2 linked regions of the Neodiprion lecontei genome follow. The protein of the gene in region 2 purifies or fractionates together with the protein of the main gene of each other region. This does not show direct contact. Links are inferred from orthologs where the notes say so. Each region holds a gene or a part of one and is shown on either strand. Other genes may lie near its edges.

Region 1 (10,027 bases), on a different chromosome or scaffold from region 2:
ATACCGTCAAAATTTGTGGAAATCACGTCGAAACCACGGGAAAAATACCGACGTTCAAATTTTTTCTCATACCTCGTTTTTTTCGTTTTTCTTACGTTTTTCTCACGTTTTTTTTTACCTAATTGTCTGATATCAAAAATTTCCGACAAACGCACGAAATAAAAGCTTAAGAAGCCAACCCCCGTAAACTATATACAATATCCATACACACTACATGTACGTGTATATTATATGTGTATATATATATATACATATATATATATTTCGTGTGCTCGTAAGTATATTATACATATATAAGTTTTATCGCACGGTAGCATAATCATATGCGTAAAGTTTAATTGTGCATATTTGAAGTGACGTGAGTCGTAACTTGATTGAGAGCATAAAATCGTTTGGAATTAACGGGAGCGGAAGAACAAAAAAAAAAAAAAAGAAAAAAAAACCAAAGATCGATTTGTTCGTTATTTCGCGACGTTAAACAATAATATTGTTACAGTGAACGTGAATGGCATGCCAATTTCAATCGCTGGATTAATTTTGATGCGCATTTCTCATATCGCGCCATTACCGTGGTTAATATATATATATATATTTTTTTTTTTCTACTTCACTATTTCATCATCCTAGAATATTTATTTGTAGCACGAATTTCGCTAAAATTTCACAAAACAAATTTGCGAACTCGAAAACGAAGATCGTACGAGACAAAAAAAATAAAAATATGGATTTTCATCGCAATTATTAATAATATTATTATTGTTGTTGTTGTTAAAATTATTATTATTATTATTATTATTATTATTATTATTATCATCATACGTATACTGCACGATTCGTAAAACGCACACATCATTATAGAAATATATATAATGAAATTATAATATACCATCTACACGAATATTTTTAAAACGAAAAAAAAAAAAAAAAATTCAAAAAAAAAACCGTAATAAGACCGTCTTGTATTGAATTTTGATGCGCAGGCTGTCGCAGATACGTCCGAAAATCCGATCACTCAGATCGTGGATCTCTCTTGGTCCAAGAACCATCAGCACTTTACCTGCACACCGGCCTATCTCCTAGATTTATATACATACAAATATATATATATATATATATATATATACATACACACACACACATACACACAATATTATGATACAATAGTGATTAGCAAATTATGATAACAATGATAACAATGATAACAATGATAACAATAACAGTTGGAGAGATTTCAAGAATTATATATTCAACTCGTTACCAAAGAACGTGAAGATTACATAACAATACCGATATATACACACGCGCTTACACACATATACAGTGCATGTTGTGCAAATGTAAAACAAATACACAATGCAAACGATTTGATGTTTTGAAAAAATTTTTTACTTCATACTTCATTTTCCAACAAAACTTGGTTCCAGCCTTTCATTTTTTCGATTCTCTGCTAACTTTGATTAAAAATCATCTCACTGAATTTCTTCGACTTTCGAAATAAAAATTTTTAATACATACACATGTCTAAAATAAGTACCTGAGGGTCTTGCGAAGAAAACTAGGATATAAAAAAAATATATTATATACATGTATAAAACATAACCGAAACATTAATCCCGGGTCTTGAAATTTGTTGGATGAAGAATTTTTTAGATATAAAATAAGAGACAAAAAAACAAAAATTGAAAGTACATTTGAAGCATAATGCAGTATCGATCAACCTACCTGTAAAACGCGTAAATCTTACGTACGTGATTGCTTGTTCCGTGTCTCTTGTGAAAAATTATACCGATTCTGACGTACGTATGAAATGTGGAAAAAATAACGAGACAACACGCATTCACACGCACACAACAACAACAACAACAGCATCAATTAATTACTGTAAAAACAAAAAACAAAAAACAAAAGAAAAAAAAAACCAACTATATATATTCATTCGCATTTAATATACATATAGTATATTTGTGTTGTACGTGATTAATGATTGAAATTTTAATGAGGAGAAAAAAAAAAAAAAACACCATACACAGATATATATACGAGACCGCGCGTTGAAAATTTGAAATCACGTAAATCGATAAAAAGGAAATCTACTCATACGGGTGCGTGTGCAAAATTATACACGCATATCGCGTATGCATATATACATACATATATTTTCCATGCATACCTGACCATACCTGCGAAATGATTTTGTCGAATCTCAATGAGAAATTTACGCTTATTAAGTTATTTTTAATCATTTTTATCATTCCCCCCCCCCCCGTTATGACGAATATTATATTTAATAAATGTAATATTAATGATTTTGTACGGATGATAGATTTGTTCTGTTCTCTTTTCTTTTCTTTTTTTATATTTATCATCATACTAACAATCTGTAACGAAATATCAAGCGATTGATAACCGTCGTTCCTTATTTATTATATAACGACCGTTCCGGGTCGGTAAACTGTGTTAAAAAATATTTGCAAAAAAAATAAAAAAAAAAAACAATGAAATCATTAAAATCGAATACAAACCCTGCAGAATATCGCTTGTTAGCTGACCTCGAGTATTCTATAATATACCTAATCTATGTACCGTAACACAATAGCCTCTATATATATACATATATATATATCTCTAAATTATATTACCGCTGCATACAAGCAAGGACGTTGCATTTGTAATTTTTGTAATTTATAAAAATTGTTATTCAAGAGAGTTCGAATAACAATTATCTGTAACAATATGACAACCATTAGATTTAGTTTGTAATTTTTCAACAATATTCGGCTTCCTCGAGTAGAAGGAGAAAAAAAATATGGAAAACACGTATCTTCAAAATGTTGTTTAAACGGAAAATTACTGAAGGTGGAATTTGAAAACACGATTTAGAAAAAAGGAAAACAAAAAAAACAAACGATTCTCTGAAAACGACGACTGCAATGTCTTTGAACTAATCGTTGTTATACTAAATAATATAAATTTATATTATTATATTATTGAAAACGTGAAATTATCCTCAAATCATATTTATTCTTTAGACTATTGTAATACGTATAAAAAATATTGTAACGTGTGTTTGCATGTGCGTGCTCGAAGGGTGCAGAGGTCGCCGGGAAATTATTACGTTTAACAAAATTACATTATCACACAATCGTATGGATTTCAAAGGAAAGAGAAAACAAAATAGAAGAAAAAAAAAAAAAGTAAATTGAAATGATTTTTAAACATGGATAATATTAAAACTTAGTTTCGCCGCATAAATATGTATAAATATATGGGCGCTTGGAGAGAGGAAAATTGAAAAAACAATAAGTAAAACATAAAAATAAAAGGGGGTTAATAATAATGAAGAAAAAAGAAATAAATAACTTATGTAGAACTGGATTAGTAATATTGTAATAAACTTGCATGCGAATTCAATCTTTGTGTTGTGATTATTTGACACAAAAATAGAAAAGAAGAGGAGGGAAAAAAAAAAAAAAAACCTACGAAAGAACTGAGAATTCGAAAAACGAAGGACGAAACTTCCGGTACTGTAAAGACAGTGTGGCTTCAGCACGTATCGTCCGATCATACAAAAAAAAAAAAATAAAAATTGAATGCCGCGACGTTTCTTACACTTTCCGCACGTCTATAGAAGTGATCCGCAAAATTATAAACAAAATGCAAAAGGCGACGCGAGATTGAATCGTTCATTCAAGAAACGAATGTAACACATTTATTCACAATTTCTGTTACGTAGAAAATGAGATAAATAAAATTTATACTTTGTAATCGCGTTCAGTATGAGTGACCGTCTGCACCCTTCGCATTCGATTACTGTTATTTATCGACACATAAGTTGTTATTCATTGTTTTTACCTTATTAAAATCTTTATTTATTTAACTTTAATATCGTTCGTTTGTTACTTCGTATTCATTTCACTTAATTTAACCAACGCGTAGATTGTTTGAATATTTTTTTTTTTTTACATTTACCGTTAAATTATACTACTTTGGTTTAAAAATATTTCCTATACATATATATTGTATATTTTTTTAATCAACAAAAGAAAAAGAAAAAAAAAAAAAAAACAAAACAAATTATTACATAAGGTAACCAATACCTAATTACACACGGGTATAACAATCGAGAAAATTATACTTAACGTGTAATGTATTTTTGGTTTTCTCACTTCGAGCAAAGCTTTAACTTATATACGAATACCGTACCTGTTTAAAAATTATTGATTATCTTTGTCTGTGTATCCACACGCATCGATTAGTTAATTAACGCTGTATAAAGTACACTCTGACACTTCGATCCGATGTTAAACACGTTCGTCTGTAATCGCCCTTAAATGCGTTTCAGGTAGAGGAAAAACAAAAAAAAAAAAAAAAAAACAAACAAACAAAAGAGAATTCAAGAGATAAAAGTTTTAAGTAACTACATATACAGTGACTATATAACACAATATTAGTATAAATATATATATAAATATATGAATATATATATATACATGTATAAAAATATATACCAAATATTAGATATTTTAGTGTAACTGAAACAGAATCATCTATATAGCATGTATAAATGTAATTCTATATGAAAGCAACAATAAATTATGTAACAAGAATATACCGCTGACTCCTCGTTCTTTCTGTTCATCAATTTTTCCACGATTTATTGTTAGTTAATATCATCTGTCGTAGAAGCTTTGAAACAACTCTCGACAAGCTCAGGCTTAAAAACTTGCCTCGATGCGGTAATTCTTTCAATAAAACAAGGTGAGTTGATGGGTGATGATATCGAGTGACGGTAAGATAGTAAACTTCAATGCAAATATCGGTATCAGTTTTCTATAAAAAAAAAAAAAAGAAAATTTGATTGGCGGAACGTTGTCAAGTTTAATGTTTAAAGTAAACTGACAGACGCATAAAAAATAAATAAATTTAAAAAAAAATTACAGAGATGTGTCAATAACGATGCAACTAGTACCTATTGATAATGCAATTGTTTTCGTTTCACCGTCTTACAAACAACAAGAATATCGGTAATGCAGCAAACGACTAACCATCAATCGCGCGGCACGAGTGCAGCGGCAAAAAAAAAAAAAAAAAAACCATCCATAAATTACGGACCGTTCGTCAAACGTTGCGTGGCTACGTTCGAAAACAGTGAGACGGAAAGACCTTTCATCCGGTGTGATTGCGGCATGACACGCAATCAGTAACGAGATAAGGATTCAAACAACCGCAGCAGTGATAAAGAAGCAAGTGTAGTAAGATCGGGTTAATTCTGCGTCACAAACAACGCCGAGTCTACGCAGCTAACGAAAACTCGAAACAAACTCTGAAAATGTAAACCTAACCTCAAGCGCCGCGAAACAACGCATAAATACGAAGCTTGCGACTCACCCTCCGCCGTTATCTCACCTCGATTCTTCCGCCCGTCTTTCGTCAACTTTAACGACGTCGTAAACTATAATCCGCATCCGGCCAGTTCACTGAATTCACAAAACGTTCTGACGAGATGTCACATTACACGCGATCGCACTCTCGGCTTTTGTTATTGTTACAGACGCTACCTTACCGACCGGATGAATCAGGAAACAGTCTTACTGGCTGCGACACGACGTGCTTTCAGTCGGTGAGCTTACCTCGTAACGTGCCGCTGGCTCCGTCGATTAACTCGGAACTCGAGCTGCGCTCGATCGATAATGTATGCCTGCTGCGAGTCGTTTGGCGAAAATGTTAACACCCCGTTGGTGAGTCGCGCCACGATCGGGGGGGGGATACGGATTGAAGGGTCTAAATTCATACCTATTGTCAGGATTTTTACTTTTATTGAAAGGAAAACTCTGAAAGCAATTTTAGTTTATCGACTTTATTATTTATAGTTTCAACAATGTTTTAGAATTTTTTTTTCATTGAAATTAAAAACAAAATGGCGGCATCGCGGATATAAGTACCGAACGACTCTGAAACTCTTGTCTTGTCCAACTTGTGACGGATAAAAAATTATTTTACTTTTTTTAATTTATTAAAAACACCGTTTCGGGTACGAGTTTGTAACCCAAATGTGTAACGTTTTCTTTTTCTTATTAATACTATACGATTGTGAACAAAAAATTGTTGAAAAAAAAAATGTATAAACAAATTTTGATATCTAAATTCAAAAAATGTAGCCGCAATATCGAAACGATAAAGTAGTTTTAAAGATTGCGTCAAAATTTCAAGTCAAAATCGAATTTCAGATCCGTAATCAGCGACTCCAAAAACTTGTAATTTATGTACAACAAGTTTACGTGCAGAGGAGCAACTTTCTCGGAAATGAATTATTCCTTCGATTTTCACGATTTTTTTTCGATCAACTTGTTTCTAACAATAATAATTCACATTGAATCGCAACGATAACTCTCGAACATTGAAAACCTATTTTAGTAAGCAATAAAAAAATAGCAAAAATCCACAAAGAAAAATGTTGAAAAGTTCTCTGAACGTACGAAAAAAAAAAGAAAAAAAATAGCTGTAAAATAAGTATGACTGAAAAAGTAAAGCCATGCACCGTCCACGAACAACGCCGAGGCTCTGCAAGCTTGAGCTTTTCGTCGAGCTTTGGTACGGGTTGATTTCGTTAACGGAAGCTGAGTGCACCGCTAGTCCATTTACTGCCCTCGCTTAGGCTTCTCTCGATCTCGTTTACTACCGCGTTCGCAGAGAGTAAAACTACCGTTGTGCTTTTATTTATCTACGCGACTGTTGAAAACAAAAAAAAGAAAACGCAGAAGAAAGAAATTATTCTTCGATAAAAATTTCACCCCTGTGAATAATTTAAGAATTCCGCCACTCTGTGAAATGTTTTTGCTCGTACGACTTGAAGGAAAACTTCAACGTACGGTTGTAATATCAAAGGATCGATTTCTCTGCCCCGAAGATAACGACAAACTTGCGTTTATGCTAATATTTACCAACTCTTTCCATTGATTCAAATCTCCGTTCGAAGCTTTTTCTCCTGAATGGTCATGTTTTACCACCTCACCACTGTATGTAAGAATAACAATAATATAACACCCCGAAAAACGAAGCTTTCATGAATTTCGAAGCGCAGCATCGAATTTTGCATGGAGTCTGACAGTGCTGCCAACTAAATTTACGGTGGGAAAAATTTCAGGAGCGAGAAAAGCTTAATATCACACTTTTCGATTTTCCATAAGAATAACGTAGGATAAATGTTGTTTGCTTCTTCTAGTTTTTTATAACTAGCTAACGAAGCGTCGTAAAAAAAAATTTTGCAGGAAATTGAATGCTCTACAAGAAAAGGTCTCTTGTCAAAATTTCGCAAAACTAACTGTGTCAAAGTTACAGCCTGTCAAAAGTTGAGTTACCTATAATTTGACCTTTTTTGAATATTACAGCGTAGCTACCGGTCTCATAAAAAAAAATGTGCATGAGTCTTTTTTTTTTTTTTTTTTTTTGTGAAGCGTAAATTTTACTTTAAATGGATGTTTAAATTTTTTTTAAAGTGTACAATAAAATTTGCGTTAAGAGAAAAGTGACAAGGATGAAAGTCGACAGAGGTATGAATTGAATTGGAATTAGGAGGCCGACTTTTCCCACAATATTATTTGTGAAAGGAAGGATATCGATTATCGGGTTGGGCTGCAACCCGCAGCAGACCCTTTTCCGTCAGGCGTTCGACGTGTTGCTCCGTCTTTTGAGAAGACGGACGATGATGAGACGGCTGATTGAGAACGAGGACGAGAGGCAGTCGAGTTGGCCTGCCGTTAAAATGGAACATTTTTTTTTTCCCGTTTCTTTTTTTCCTTCTTATTCCTCACATTTTATTTCCCTGTACAAAAGCTACCGATCGGATTATAGTCGATCAATGATGTTTCTGTCATTTTTTTCTCCTTGGTTTTACCTTATTTTACTTGTAAACACACAAATTTACGTGTATATATATAATACACGAGGCATTCCATGACGCGTCAATCAAGATTCTGAGTCGATGTTTCGAATTGGCTTTATAATATTTTTTTCTATCAAAGTACGCGACGAAAAACGCTATCGCAATTTTTTTACTCAATATTTCGACCCAGCGTATCCGAGCCATAATTTAAACACTCTTATAAAATGTAACAAAGTTTTTAACACGTATTAGAAGATGGAAATGTCACAACTTCAAAAGATAAATAAGAAAGATTTGAAGAAAAAAAAAAAAAAATTATTATTCTCGGACTTCATTTTTGAAACAAGAATAAACATAAAAGCTCTTCTAATGGGTTTCAAAAATTTTCTTATATTTTACAAGTCTTTTCTAAATTTTTACAGCTTTTTTTTTCCAAGTCTTTAAATCGTACTTCAGATAAGCTGGGTCGAAAAATTGCGATAAAAATTGCGATTGCGTGATTCGTCGTGTAAGTACTTTCATACGAAAACAAAAATTGATAATTGTGAGATTATTTTTGTATTTTTAAATTTTTTTATTCTAAGCACACTTGTATCCGATTTATTTATTCTCAGTTGGTATTTCTTCCTTCTCTTTAATTGTTCACACGGTCAAACAACGACCCTAAAAATGAACAAAAAGTTTGCAAGAGTTTTGAAAAGCACAAAGCAAAATGAAAGTATTCTTCGTTTGAAATGCGCGAATAATATGAATAGAATTTTTCATCGATTATCAATGATGTTTGTTCTTTTTTTTTTCCTGCGCATCGGTTTTTTTTTCCCGTTTCAAACAACGTTCAGCATCAACGATCAGATAAAATCAGTAATATAAGAGGAATTTCGAGCACAGCCGCACTAAACGTATGAAGAGAAAAATTTAATTTTTCTTTATACAACGTATCGAAAATCGATTATATAGAATTTATGAGAAAAACAGAGCCAAGTTCAACCAACAATAAAATTCAGTTAAATCGTTACTCTGATAATTACACCCGCCACGTGACCGCAATTATGTATCGACGATAAAACCGGGGAAAAAGAGAAAAAACTGAGCGCCATATTTAACACGGTTCCTACGCTTTTTGGAATCTGAAGTTCCCTGATTTTTTCAGTAACCTTTTATTTGCAAACAATAGCCTGCGATTATCATTAAAGTAAAAAAAAAGAAAAAGAAAAAAAGTGACATACATGGAATGTATGAAGTGGTGCGAAGAAACAAAATTTTGAGTGCAATCTTACTTTTTTTTTTCTCTTTCTTTCTTCTTCCTCATTTTTTTTTTTTCTTCTCCTAATATCGACGGTACTTTTTTTTAAGAACGAATTCATTTCTTCGACAGACTGAGAATTTCAATCTCATTTTCGAAATTCCCCAAGTTTTTCCGATTTTCCAGGTTTTCATGCGCACAGCTGGGAGAGGGCCGAGCAATCAATTGACGCAAGACTCGGTATTAACCATCGACAAGTGCTTTTCAACCGCGGGATTAAAGCGAAGGGGTTTGGTAAACATACGAGAAGTGCTTATACGCGGTCAGATAGTGCCTGTAAAGCTTTTTGGCGAGGGCAATCAATTGGCCGGGAGAGATAAGTCCTATCAAAACCGGATGTACGATCTATTATCCGGCTAAATTCAGGGCAAGCAAATGGATTACAAACGCCGCAAATAACACCTGTTCCTAGCGTCTTGACGATTATGATCATGGCATCCGCCATTTTCAATTTGGACATTGGACTCGATATTAAAAATCTCAGACGCGAACGCATATTTTCGTACCTGAGGTTAGATTTATTTATTTATTGTTCACCGAATGAACGAACAAAGTTCTTTCTTTTTCTTTCAAACTCTTCGTTCAAATTTCACGTAGTTTGACTGATGTAAGTTTGAATGTGGAAGAAAAAAAAAATCATTCAATCTAAATGTTTATAGCCATAGAGAAACACGTAGGGAACTTTAAAGATATTGATTTTTGTGTGACTGGTGAGTATCTCAATAAAAGAGGTTAAATTTTTAACAGAAAAAAATGGCAATCGTTGGATAATAAATAATTTTTAAATTGATTTGTCGAAAATCCCCTTGAATTATTGAATATTTGTTGTGAGTAATTTTTTG
Region 2 (10,211 bases):
ATGAAATGAACTTGACGGATCGTAGCTGCTCGGAAATTTATACCACATATCAACCACCAAATCCATATATGCGTAAGGAATTAAGTATTTTAACTTTGAAAAAGCTATATTGGAACTTGGAAGTTCTGTACGTAAATATTTTTGCAGCAATTTTGGCAGCATTTATGCTCATGTTTTTCTTCTCGGCCACATGGGCACTCGGAACATTTGTCGTTCGCTCCGGACTAATGACCAGATTTTTAAGGAGAGATGTGCCCGAAGTTCAGAGTGTGAGTGGATATTTTCAAGAGAAAGTGATTTATAATACTTTGATATTACTGATGTTTGGTATTTTATATTTCAGGATCTGGGAAGACTGCAGGAAAACGAATCTTCACCTAGGCCTATAGAGAGGGTGACCAGATTTAGCACTCGAGCGAAATTTTTGGACACCTTTCGTGGGTAACGTATAATTATATAATGGGGCATTCAATAAATAATGGCAACTCAACCGATGAGTTTCCTTTTTTTTTTATAACATTCTCCATTTTCAAAAAAGCATTCCTGAGTTTATTTAAATATTTTCCTACAACTATTAATTTTTTATAATTATTCAAACTAATCTACAAATTAGCATTATTTAAAAATCAGAAAAAATTCTGAAAAATTTTATTTTTCATTTCGATTATGCAGACATTGGCCCACGATAGGGGGATTTTTTTCGATTTATTTTCAGCACTTTAAACATCTTGAACAAACAAAACACTGTGTTACAACGTCCCAAAAATGTTTAACAAATTTTTTAAACTAAGCTTATGTGTAAGGGCAACCAGTTTCTCCTAATGTAATTTGTTTCGAAGGAATTTTTTCCCAGTATTAAGATTTTATTGATAATATTCAACAACAGTGGGGGTAAATACTGGTTTTCAAGTAAGACTAGTATAAAAAATAAAATGATTACGAAGCACTCTGTTAGGTACAAGAATCTCAAATTTAGCTAATGGTTCAGGTCAAACCGGTTTTTCCTCATGTAATTCAAGGATGAATTTTTTTCCCAGAATTGCGATTTTATTGATGATATTCGTCAACAATGGTGGGGGTAAATACTGGTTTTTCAATCATAGCCCATGGAATGGAATAACACTGGCAGACTTGGTGTTGCCATTGTAAGCATGAAACAAACCTCTACAAATATTCTTGTTACTTTCAGTCGAAGTACTTTTTTTGATGATCTCCAATTTTGTGATTGATTTTAGCTTTGCATGGATCATGGGATTCACCATAATAATTTCACTGCGTACCCAACTTAGGATATCTATATCCCGAAGCAGGATTATTTTACGTTGTTTTTGTCGATCTGTAACTTTGATATTTCTTGGCCTGGTTATCAACTCACTAACCAGAACAACTGAGAATTGCGTAATTCTGAAACTCAACGATCTCAGATTTCCAGGAATCTTACAATTATTGGGAGTATCGTACTTTATCTGCGCGACGCTTGAAGCTATATTCACCAAGGCGCAACGAACTTTTCAGGTTGGCTCTAAAACTGGTTTTTGAACTGATTGTTTAATATCTATGATGAATCATTAGTCGATCTGCTGTGATGTTTATGCTAATATTAACAAACCATTGATGAGGGAGGATTCTGTTATTCGCAGTATGACCGACTAAAATTTCTCCAAGACATTTTGGATGCTTGGGCGCAGTGGTTGGTTATTATTGCCATTGCAACCACACACTTGCTCCTGACGTTCCTTCTACCAGTTCCTGGTTGTCCAAAAGGATACTTAGGACCAGGTGGACTTCATGAACATGGAGCACATGCTAATTGTACTGCAGGAGCAGCTGGATACATCGACAGAACTATTTTCGGTAACCATATATATATGAAAAAGTCCGGAGTTTATGGAAAACACCCACCCTATGACCCTGAAGGTTCGCACATCCAATTATTGACTCACGAATGTATCGTTGTTACATACCTACAAAGTTCAGACTGCTTATAATGTGCTCCTTCTTATCTCTCATCTAGGAATTATGAGCACCATTTCAGCTGTGTTACTGGTTTATATGGGTGTTCAAGCTGGTAGAATCATGCTAACGTACCACCAAGCAAAGTCCCGTGTGATTCGTTGGCTTTTGTGGTCTGTGGTTACGGTAAGATTACAGCTATTGATCACAGATATACTGAACTCTGAAAAAAACCTGTATGAATTATTTATTATTTTATGCAGGGTATTTTGGCTGGTATTTTATGTAACTTCAGTAAAGAAGATGGTGTTATTCCTGTGAATAAATCGATGATGTCGTTGTCTTATGTGCTCGCAACATCTAGTATAGCATTTGCCATGAATACAATTCTCTACATTCTGATTGATCTTCAACATTGGTGGAGTGGAGCTCCGTTCTTTTACGCAGGCAAGTTACCAACTTTTCTGGTATACTTTATTCTGAATTGTTTTGCATTAAAGTAATACGTGTTGATTTCATTCACTATTTTTCAGGTACAAATGCTATATTCTTGTATATGGGGCATTACTTTACGATGGGAGTATTTCCTTGGACCTTGACGATTAATGGAGTTAGGACGCATGCTAATGTATTATCACTAAACTTGTGGACCACGGCGCTTTGGGCCATTATTGCTTATGTGCTTCACAAGAAAGAAATTATTCTCACAGTATAGACACAACCCTATCTATTCCACAGTTGAGAAGAAAGTTTTGGAATTTCTTCAGCTCAGAATTCCAAACCATTGGTCAAATAATTAAGTGGAATGAAAAAAATGATAATCTAATTTTAAGCCTGTCGTTTTGGGCAATATACACCCACTGTTTGTACTAGCCCACATGTATAATTTACTTTAGCGACTCGTTCCAATTAGTAAGAATTAATTTTTGACAGAAAAGTGTTTGAGTTAATAACCGACCATGTTCGTCAGATTCATTCAAACTGGTTTGACTGATTTTGGCATTATAACACGCTAAGCATGGCGTCAGTCTCAGGGACTGACAGTGAACTTTTTGTTAGGCGAGCGTCGGGTCACGATGTAGTCTGAACGGAAAGCACAGCAAAATCGGCCCCATGGTTAGCGTTTTAATCGACGATACTTATGTTAGATGTAATTATTATTTTACCGCTTTGGACAAATCCCATTTAATTTGGGTAAATGCTTGTTATTGGTGTTGTAGTTTGAGTAAAATATAACATATGTAATTTTATGTTATTCTCCAACACTATTTACATATTCATACGCATGCATATGCTTGCGGTGCATTTTTAGTTTTGTTATAAATATTTTGTTTCAACCAAACTGTTAAAATGAGGTGTGGCATCTCATGATACCGATAATTACTATTGACCTTTCAGTAACAGAGATATAAAGAGAATAGGCTAAGAATTGGACCAATTCAGTTTATATTAAGATATAGTTTCTATTTACGCATTTCGTTTTGTGATACAGAATATGGCTGAAAATATTAGTATTTAATAATTTCATAACAATATAGATCTCAACGCTAATGAGGTCTTGTATGATTTCTACCCAGATATATCGAATTAATAAAGAACGTTATATACATATACGTATGCACTATGTTATGATGCGCATACTTTCATGGCCTGGAATTATCACATTTTGTGAATCTTTGGCATTATGAATTCCTCTCTTCCGGTTTTTTGTATGGAAGTCCAAGTTTACTGAAGATATCCTCTTCACTTGTGATTAATTCAGCATTCCCTGGTAACCCTTTAATAGAAATTGTAAAAGGGTCGATTAATCTAAACTTTAAAGTTGATTGCCGGATTTTGCATGTTGATCCGTACCTTCCAATGTTAGATGTTTCAAGGTATACTCGTTCAACGTAAATTTCTTTTTAAGTGCGTGTGCCCGCATATTTTTATTGAATAAATCACTGCCGGTAAAATATAATACGGCACAGTAGTAGTGATCGCTGGGAGTAACTCTGATATCAAGTCGGCGAAATGGTTTACTCGATTCTGCTGGATCTCGGCAAACACCCTGTTTGAAAGCAATTCCAATTTTGACAATGCTTAAGTCTGTGTTGATGCAAATCAAGATATTCTTTGTTAATATAGCTGCATACCATAAACTTTGTGTTGCCGATAGAGATAGTCTCTGTGATTATTCCCTCCTTTTCAAGATGTTTAACAATATTTTTTAGCATACCGCCTTTATTTTTCGCATCCATACTTTCGGATGTGAATTTTGGATGTGTTATCAAGACGTCAATATCGCCGCTCTCATCCTTTCCACGTCTATAACTACCACAGATTGTAAGTATATACTCTTTGTCTAAATTAGCAATCACTGATTTGAGACTGGTCTCGAGTCGCCGCACCTCTTCCCTTGGAATTTTCTGTTCAAAATCTTGAAAGTACCTGCCAAAAATTGGAAAAAATTATTGCAAATACATCATGAGGAAGAAAAAATTTGAAATAGCTTGATTAAAAATTGTTTCGAGATTACGAAAATGGTAGGGAAGATTCCAAATGTAGTAAAAATCATACTTTAAACCAATTTTCTGATGATGTGTTAATTTATCTTGGTTTTTTCTCAGGTCTTCCAAAGTCTTTATACCAGCATCTACCAATTCCTTTGCCTTCGATGGTCCAATTCCTGATACCCTGGTCATCAAGTTTATAGGAGCACTGATGCCATCAGCATTAATCTGAAAATGACAAATACAAGGTTAAATCCTAATACAGCTGCGTTATGAAATTTCATTGTTCTATAGAGTTTAAGGATATCGATATTGACCTACACATGTTACTATAGATTATGACTGATGATAACTTACTTTTTCAAGTTTTTGTAATTTTCCGGTTTGAAGGAACTCATCAATTTTTTTTGCGATCTTCTCTCCAACCCCTGGCAACTTTTTTGCCTCTTCACCATTCTTCACTCGGTATGATAGTGCAGCCAAAGTTCCAGCAGCTTTACGGTAAGCGTTATATTTGTAGATGTTTTTACTGACATTCCGCTCGTAATTTGCTAGCTCTGCAAATTTTTTCATACATTTTCACTTTGGATAAAATGATCATCAAACTTTCACCCAGTAAGTGCGCGTCAAAGTTCAATGAAACTGAGGCGATGTATACCTATCAGAAAATCGGAGAGATCACTGTTTAGATTGTCTGCGTTGTCGGGTGCCTTTCGTTTGCTCATCTTTCTTGTATTTTGACAGGGATCTCAAAATTATTAATCGCCAATCGCCGTGAAAGCAATAAACGAACTGTCAAATTGGAGTATAACCTCTACACTTTTCAATTGCTACCAAAAGCTGCAATTTCGTAATCTTCTGCTTTTTTCCTGTCGTTGTGCCCTTTTCAGGAATATGAAAATACGTAGGTTTCGACAGAAGTGAGATGACAATTGTATACACGAAAGTATTTGTCGGCGAGGGCGGCTAGGGATACCATGATAGTACACGAACCGTAGAACTGTAAGCAATACTTGTTGTCGGCACCACGGAAGACCTTTGGGAACATTTACCAACATACACTATCCGTAACAGAATTACAGAAGCCCTGTGGCGATATCTACTTATGTCCACTGTCGGTAACAAACGGCAGTATGACACTGTTGGTTGCTGATGATACGGACAGCAGCGCTAAAAAAATATTCATTCAAACACTTAATATCGAAAAAAGTGGATCCAACTTGACATGAAACTAGAATTATTATTGGAATTACAGCATTTGAAGTCGAATAATTGTTATCACATAAGTGAAACTGCTCTTTAGTTACAATTTTTATGAAGAACCACTGCAGCTTATTCGAAATTTATTTTATTTTGAAAGTTCACTAATTAGAAAGTTCCTATTTACTACGTATCTCTTAATCTTTCAGTTGCTGCCTCCTGTCAAGGTCAACCCCAACGTGGAGTTGTTACGACCAAAGCTACGACAGTGTCCTACGAGTTTATACGCTATATTTTGAGGAAACGAGTTGTACAGTAGCATACAGCTGACTGTGAGAACATAGTGTAAGGATTTGTGACTGGGATGCGTGTCAAAACGTGGAATTATCGCGCTTTCATGTCTTATAATGCGTGATAATTCTTATTTAACGTATCGGTGTATTGATGGGTTGAGACCGCAGAGATCGTGTTAATCTAATCTCAATATCGTCAAGTACATATTCTTGTGAGAATAATACATGCAATCGATGAAATGTATAGCGCTATAAGCGAATACATCGGCTGCGACATAATTTTTTGATTACCGCGTCAGAATCGTCCCGACGGAATGTCTGTTGTCTTAAATTATTAATTGTTCGGTATCAGAGTACCGCGGTGGCAGCATTATTGTAGTAGTGAGTTGAGACAAATCGAAACATTATACATGAATTAATTCAACTGCGACGCCGTGGCCAGCAGTCGCCTTCACCGTTGCCACAGTGAGCAATCATTTAGTACTAGACGGCAGCGCCACATCGTAACAGATTTGGCATTTTCTTACTAAATTGGCGGTCGCTTCAAATAGAGTACATAATAAATACGTAAACACGTTAGCGTTTTATTGTTTTTTTCTTTTTTTTTTCATCTCATACGAACATCACAGTTTTGATTTATAGCGTATCGTATGAGTCACAGCTTTGACTTATAAAACTATACAGTAAAACAATAGTTTTTATGTACTCTTACACCACTGCTTAAATATTTTGAACACGATTTGCGCGGAATTCGTCGAAAACATTTCGTCGATTAACAGATCGTCCAACCCAACACAACTCAATCTACAAAATTGTCATTTAATGAATTGGTTGTTTGCCTTTGTTACTCGACGCATTATTTTTTCTCAACAACAACGCAACATTCTCCAGTCTCCAGGTGGCGCGATAGTCAGGAGTTTACTTTTCCAAATGAGGGTTTCATACGTTTCTGAGTCATTTTCGTATTCGGGTACTGAAATTGAAAAATGTAATAAATACTTTAGAAACGTATCAGATTTAGTACAATGATATTAAACTAGTGACGTTCGTCGCTAACAGTCACCAGCGCGATTATCGCCGTTTATCGTCCACAACCCGACGTTCGTGACACTCGTTTTGGCGTCGAGACGCCTCGGTAAAGCTCGGCAAGCATCGCAGGCCAATCGATAGCCGGTTCCCGGAAGGTTTCGGAGGGGGGGGGGGGGGGGGGATGTCGTCAGTGTCGCCACACTCCTCAACGGATCCGGCAGCCCGGCACTACTTGCCTCCCACCGCTGAGCTTGGTCTCTGTTGAAAGTTCAAGGAACGAACGCGTCTACGGGCGCGGCTTGCGTCTCGAAGTGGCGTTTTACGTGGAACAATGTCGTCCCTCGACTATTTGGATTTGTGCAGATTGTGTCTAATGAAAGATCGTGTGTCCGTACCGATATTCGAGGGTGAGGGTGATGTCAGGCAGATTTTTTTAAAGATTGCGGCCTGCTTGCCGGTCAAGGTAAGCCTACAAACTACGCCATCGCTCTATGCCAGCCAATATACGGTCGCCATTTTGTCACGGTTATTGTTTCCTACCATTTACAATGAATTTATCGATTCCGTATGTATCGAGTACACAGCGTGGTTCTCGATCACTGTTCCCGCTATTACAGTTTCTTATCTCGCACGTGAAATGCCGCTTCGGTGTTGCTGTTCTGTGGTTGTAAAATCGATCCTTCTTTTTCTCTGCTCTGCAAACCCCCCCCCCCCCCCCCCCCCCCCTTCTTCGCCCTCCCTCCTTATTGCTCGTGCCGCGTCGTTACGGCAGGCGGTCCGACGCCATTCCTAACAAAGGGACGCTACGGCGTCCCGGACTCTATTCCTGTGAATTATGTATATAATTCTACTTTAATTGGCGAATGCTGTTCTAACAACTATGATATGTACAAATAGATGAATACAGACGCGATTCTGAGCGAACTGCATTTTACAAATGAATTTTATTACAGGTTGCACGGGAAGACAAGTTACCTAAAAAGATATGCGACGATTGCGTTTACAAAGTAGAATTACTTTACCAATTTTGGAATACAACGGCAAACGCCGAGAAGCAGCTACTCCAATGGCTTGGCGAAGTTGGCTTGGAGGACAAGCAAGGCTATGTCACTGGTGTCCTAAATCCGGTAATTTAACTCATCTGCCCTAAACACAACAATGTTGCTTCAGTTTGACTGTGTTTGAAACACGAAATCGAACACATGACAATCTCATATTTACTCTTCTATTTTTTTCTTGTTTACCTTGACAATCGTAAACAGTGACCACAATATTTTGGACACGTATGTTTATACTCACTTAATTAAACTATTAATGCAGTATAATTGTTGAGATACATCTTCTGCCAACATTAGGGTACAATTAATATCAAGTTTATCTTTTTTTATTGGCAAGTGTACTGGGTTGTTCATTTGAATGGCTTATGTTCATTTAAATTTTTGTAGTTTTATTTTGCACCAAACTTTTTACTATGCAATTCGAAAATTTTATCAGTGGTCTTGTATTAGACATGAACTTTTAGAGTGGCAAAAATTAAAAGAGGTGTTAGATCAACATGTATGTAGAGAGATCGTGACACTGCTACTGAGAACGTTCTTTTAAATACAAAATAAATTTTATCGAAATATTACAATCTTTCCCAAATAGGTATAGTATCTGCGATCTGTTTACAAACTCAATCAAAAGCTTGTGCAGGCATTTAGTTTCACATTCAAATCTAATTAACCCTAGTTAATCATTGTTGGTTATCCATAATACATAGTTTTAACAGTATGATTATGACTTTTGTTCGCAGAGTACAATGAAACAAGAAGAAAACAGTTCCAGCGGATTGGGAGGCACAGCAATACAGGTGACTGGAGTTCAACCTGGCATTGGTATAGGAGTTATAGACAACATGGGACTAGGCATGCCGCTAATTATTCCCAGCTCAACACAGCAGCAATTAACTGCTGTGCCAATGGATACAAGCACTGGACCCATCCAACCTATCCAACCTATCCAACAGGCTGTACCTGGTCCAAGTAGTCAACCTGGACATGAACAGATTGCCGAGTCCCAAACTAATGCAACAACGCATCAACAGGACGAGGAAGAGGAAACTAGCGATGATGAAGAAAACTCTGACGATGATTGCGATGGTGATGATGGTACACGAAGAAATTCATTTAGTTTGCCTAATAGTTTCAAAATTCCTAGAATAAGCTCAATGTTTTTTGAACTTATTTCTAATCTTAATAACGTACGTTGTATTCAACTGACAAGTATGGTGTTCTGATTTAATTATTGATTTCGAGTCTGTGTTTAATTTGAACATTTTGATTTTAATACAGGTCTACCTGTCAAGGAAGAAAGCGAGGAAGATCCTAGTAATAGTAGAACGATTGAACCTACGACGTTTGTAAATGTATCCCTGGCTTGCGACGAAGCGGGTCCGTCCGGCTTGCAGCAGCAAAAAATCGTGGAAATGCCAGAAATGGCTATGCCCCAGACAACCGACGGTGATCCCAAGTCTGGGTGAGTTTTCCTATTTTTTCTTCACTGCCCTTGCCATTGAGAGCCAAAGGTGTTTCGTTGTGAAATCCACAAACATGCGCAAACACTCACTCTTCTAAGTAATGAGGTTGTTTATTTTTCTGAATGGGATTCTGATGGGATATGTATTGGAAACTTTTTTTTAATCATCTTTTCAAACCGAATAGGTTTTTCTTTTGTACTTTCCATGGTTCGTGTTAATGTAAAATTGCGATCAAACAACCTAGATGGGTACTCTGGAGAGTTAGTCACCTTTTAATTGTTAAGGTGCACAGGGCACGAAATGAATTGTGTCCACCTACACACCTCACAACCATCTTTGGCTCAGGCCTTTAGCAATTTGTTCAGTTGGAAAATACTCAGTTGAGAAAAAAAAAAAAGATTATGATTATAGCAATGCTTTGTACTTTTTTTTTTTATGTGTCGAGTCTGAATTGTGTGCTACAAAATTAATATTCAGGCAATTAATAAATTGGAACTACAAATTGCTAGATGCTTTTTATTATAACATATATGATGTATGCGTAGTATAAGAGCATGTTTTTGTATGCTTATATGAAAGGAAATCCGTTGCTATACAGCATAAATAATGTAAACCACAGATTGTTGGTCAAAATTTATTTTTGATCGGGTATGAGAATATTTCAAATTTATGTAAGTTGATGCTGTATATGTGAATATGCATATTCTTTCATAAGGGTATACTCAG

Evidence for each region.
Region 1: the proteins of DNA polymerase beta (region 2) and DNA ligase 3 purify together in Homo sapiens (affinity purification with mass spectrometry; 3 studies listed by BioGRID and IntAct, counting the BioPlex papers as one, with this or other methods). This does not show direct contact. The link is inferred for Neodiprion lecontei from reciprocal best matches to the Homo sapiens genes POLB and LIG3.

Annotation. Positions count from the first base shown.
Region 1 is NC_060261.1:7,341,854-7,351,880, reverse strand, and holds the start of DNA ligase 3, read right to left. Parts: upstream 5,540-10,027; 5' UTR 5,389-5,539; intron 4,081-5,388; exon of another isoform or gene 1,081-4,080; coding exon of another isoform or gene 981-1,080; intron 1-980. Other genes in the region: uncharacterized protein LOC107224107, read left to right, coding at 981-1,080. UniProt on the Homo sapiens protein: Isoform 3 functions as a heterodimer with DNA-repair protein XRCC1 in the nucleus and can correct defective DNA strand-break repair and sister chromatid exchange following treatment with ionizing radiation and alkylating agents.
Region 2 is NC_060264.1:26,377,846-26,388,056, reverse strand, and holds DNA polymerase beta, read right to left. Parts: upstream 6,060-10,211; 5' UTR 5,171-6,059; coding exon 5,104-5,170; intron 5,028-5,103; exon of another isoform or gene 5,019-5,027; coding exon of another isoform or gene 5,003-5,018; coding exon 4,803-5,002; intron 4,674-4,802; coding exon 4,513-4,673; intron 4,384-4,512; coding exon 4,089-4,383; intron 4,004-4,088; coding exon 3,808-4,003; intron 3,731-3,807; coding exon 3,636-3,730; 3' UTR 3,018-3,635; downstream 1-3,017. Other genes in the region: heparan-alpha-glucosaminide N-acetyltransferase, read left to right, coding at 1-72, 148-269, 344-441, 1,038-1,145, 1,236-1,515, 1,641-1,917, 2,015-2,139, 2,217-2,400 and 1 more; zinc finger protein 62 homolog, read left to right, coding at 7,299-7,430, 7,921-8,094, 8,763-9,117, 9,301-9,484.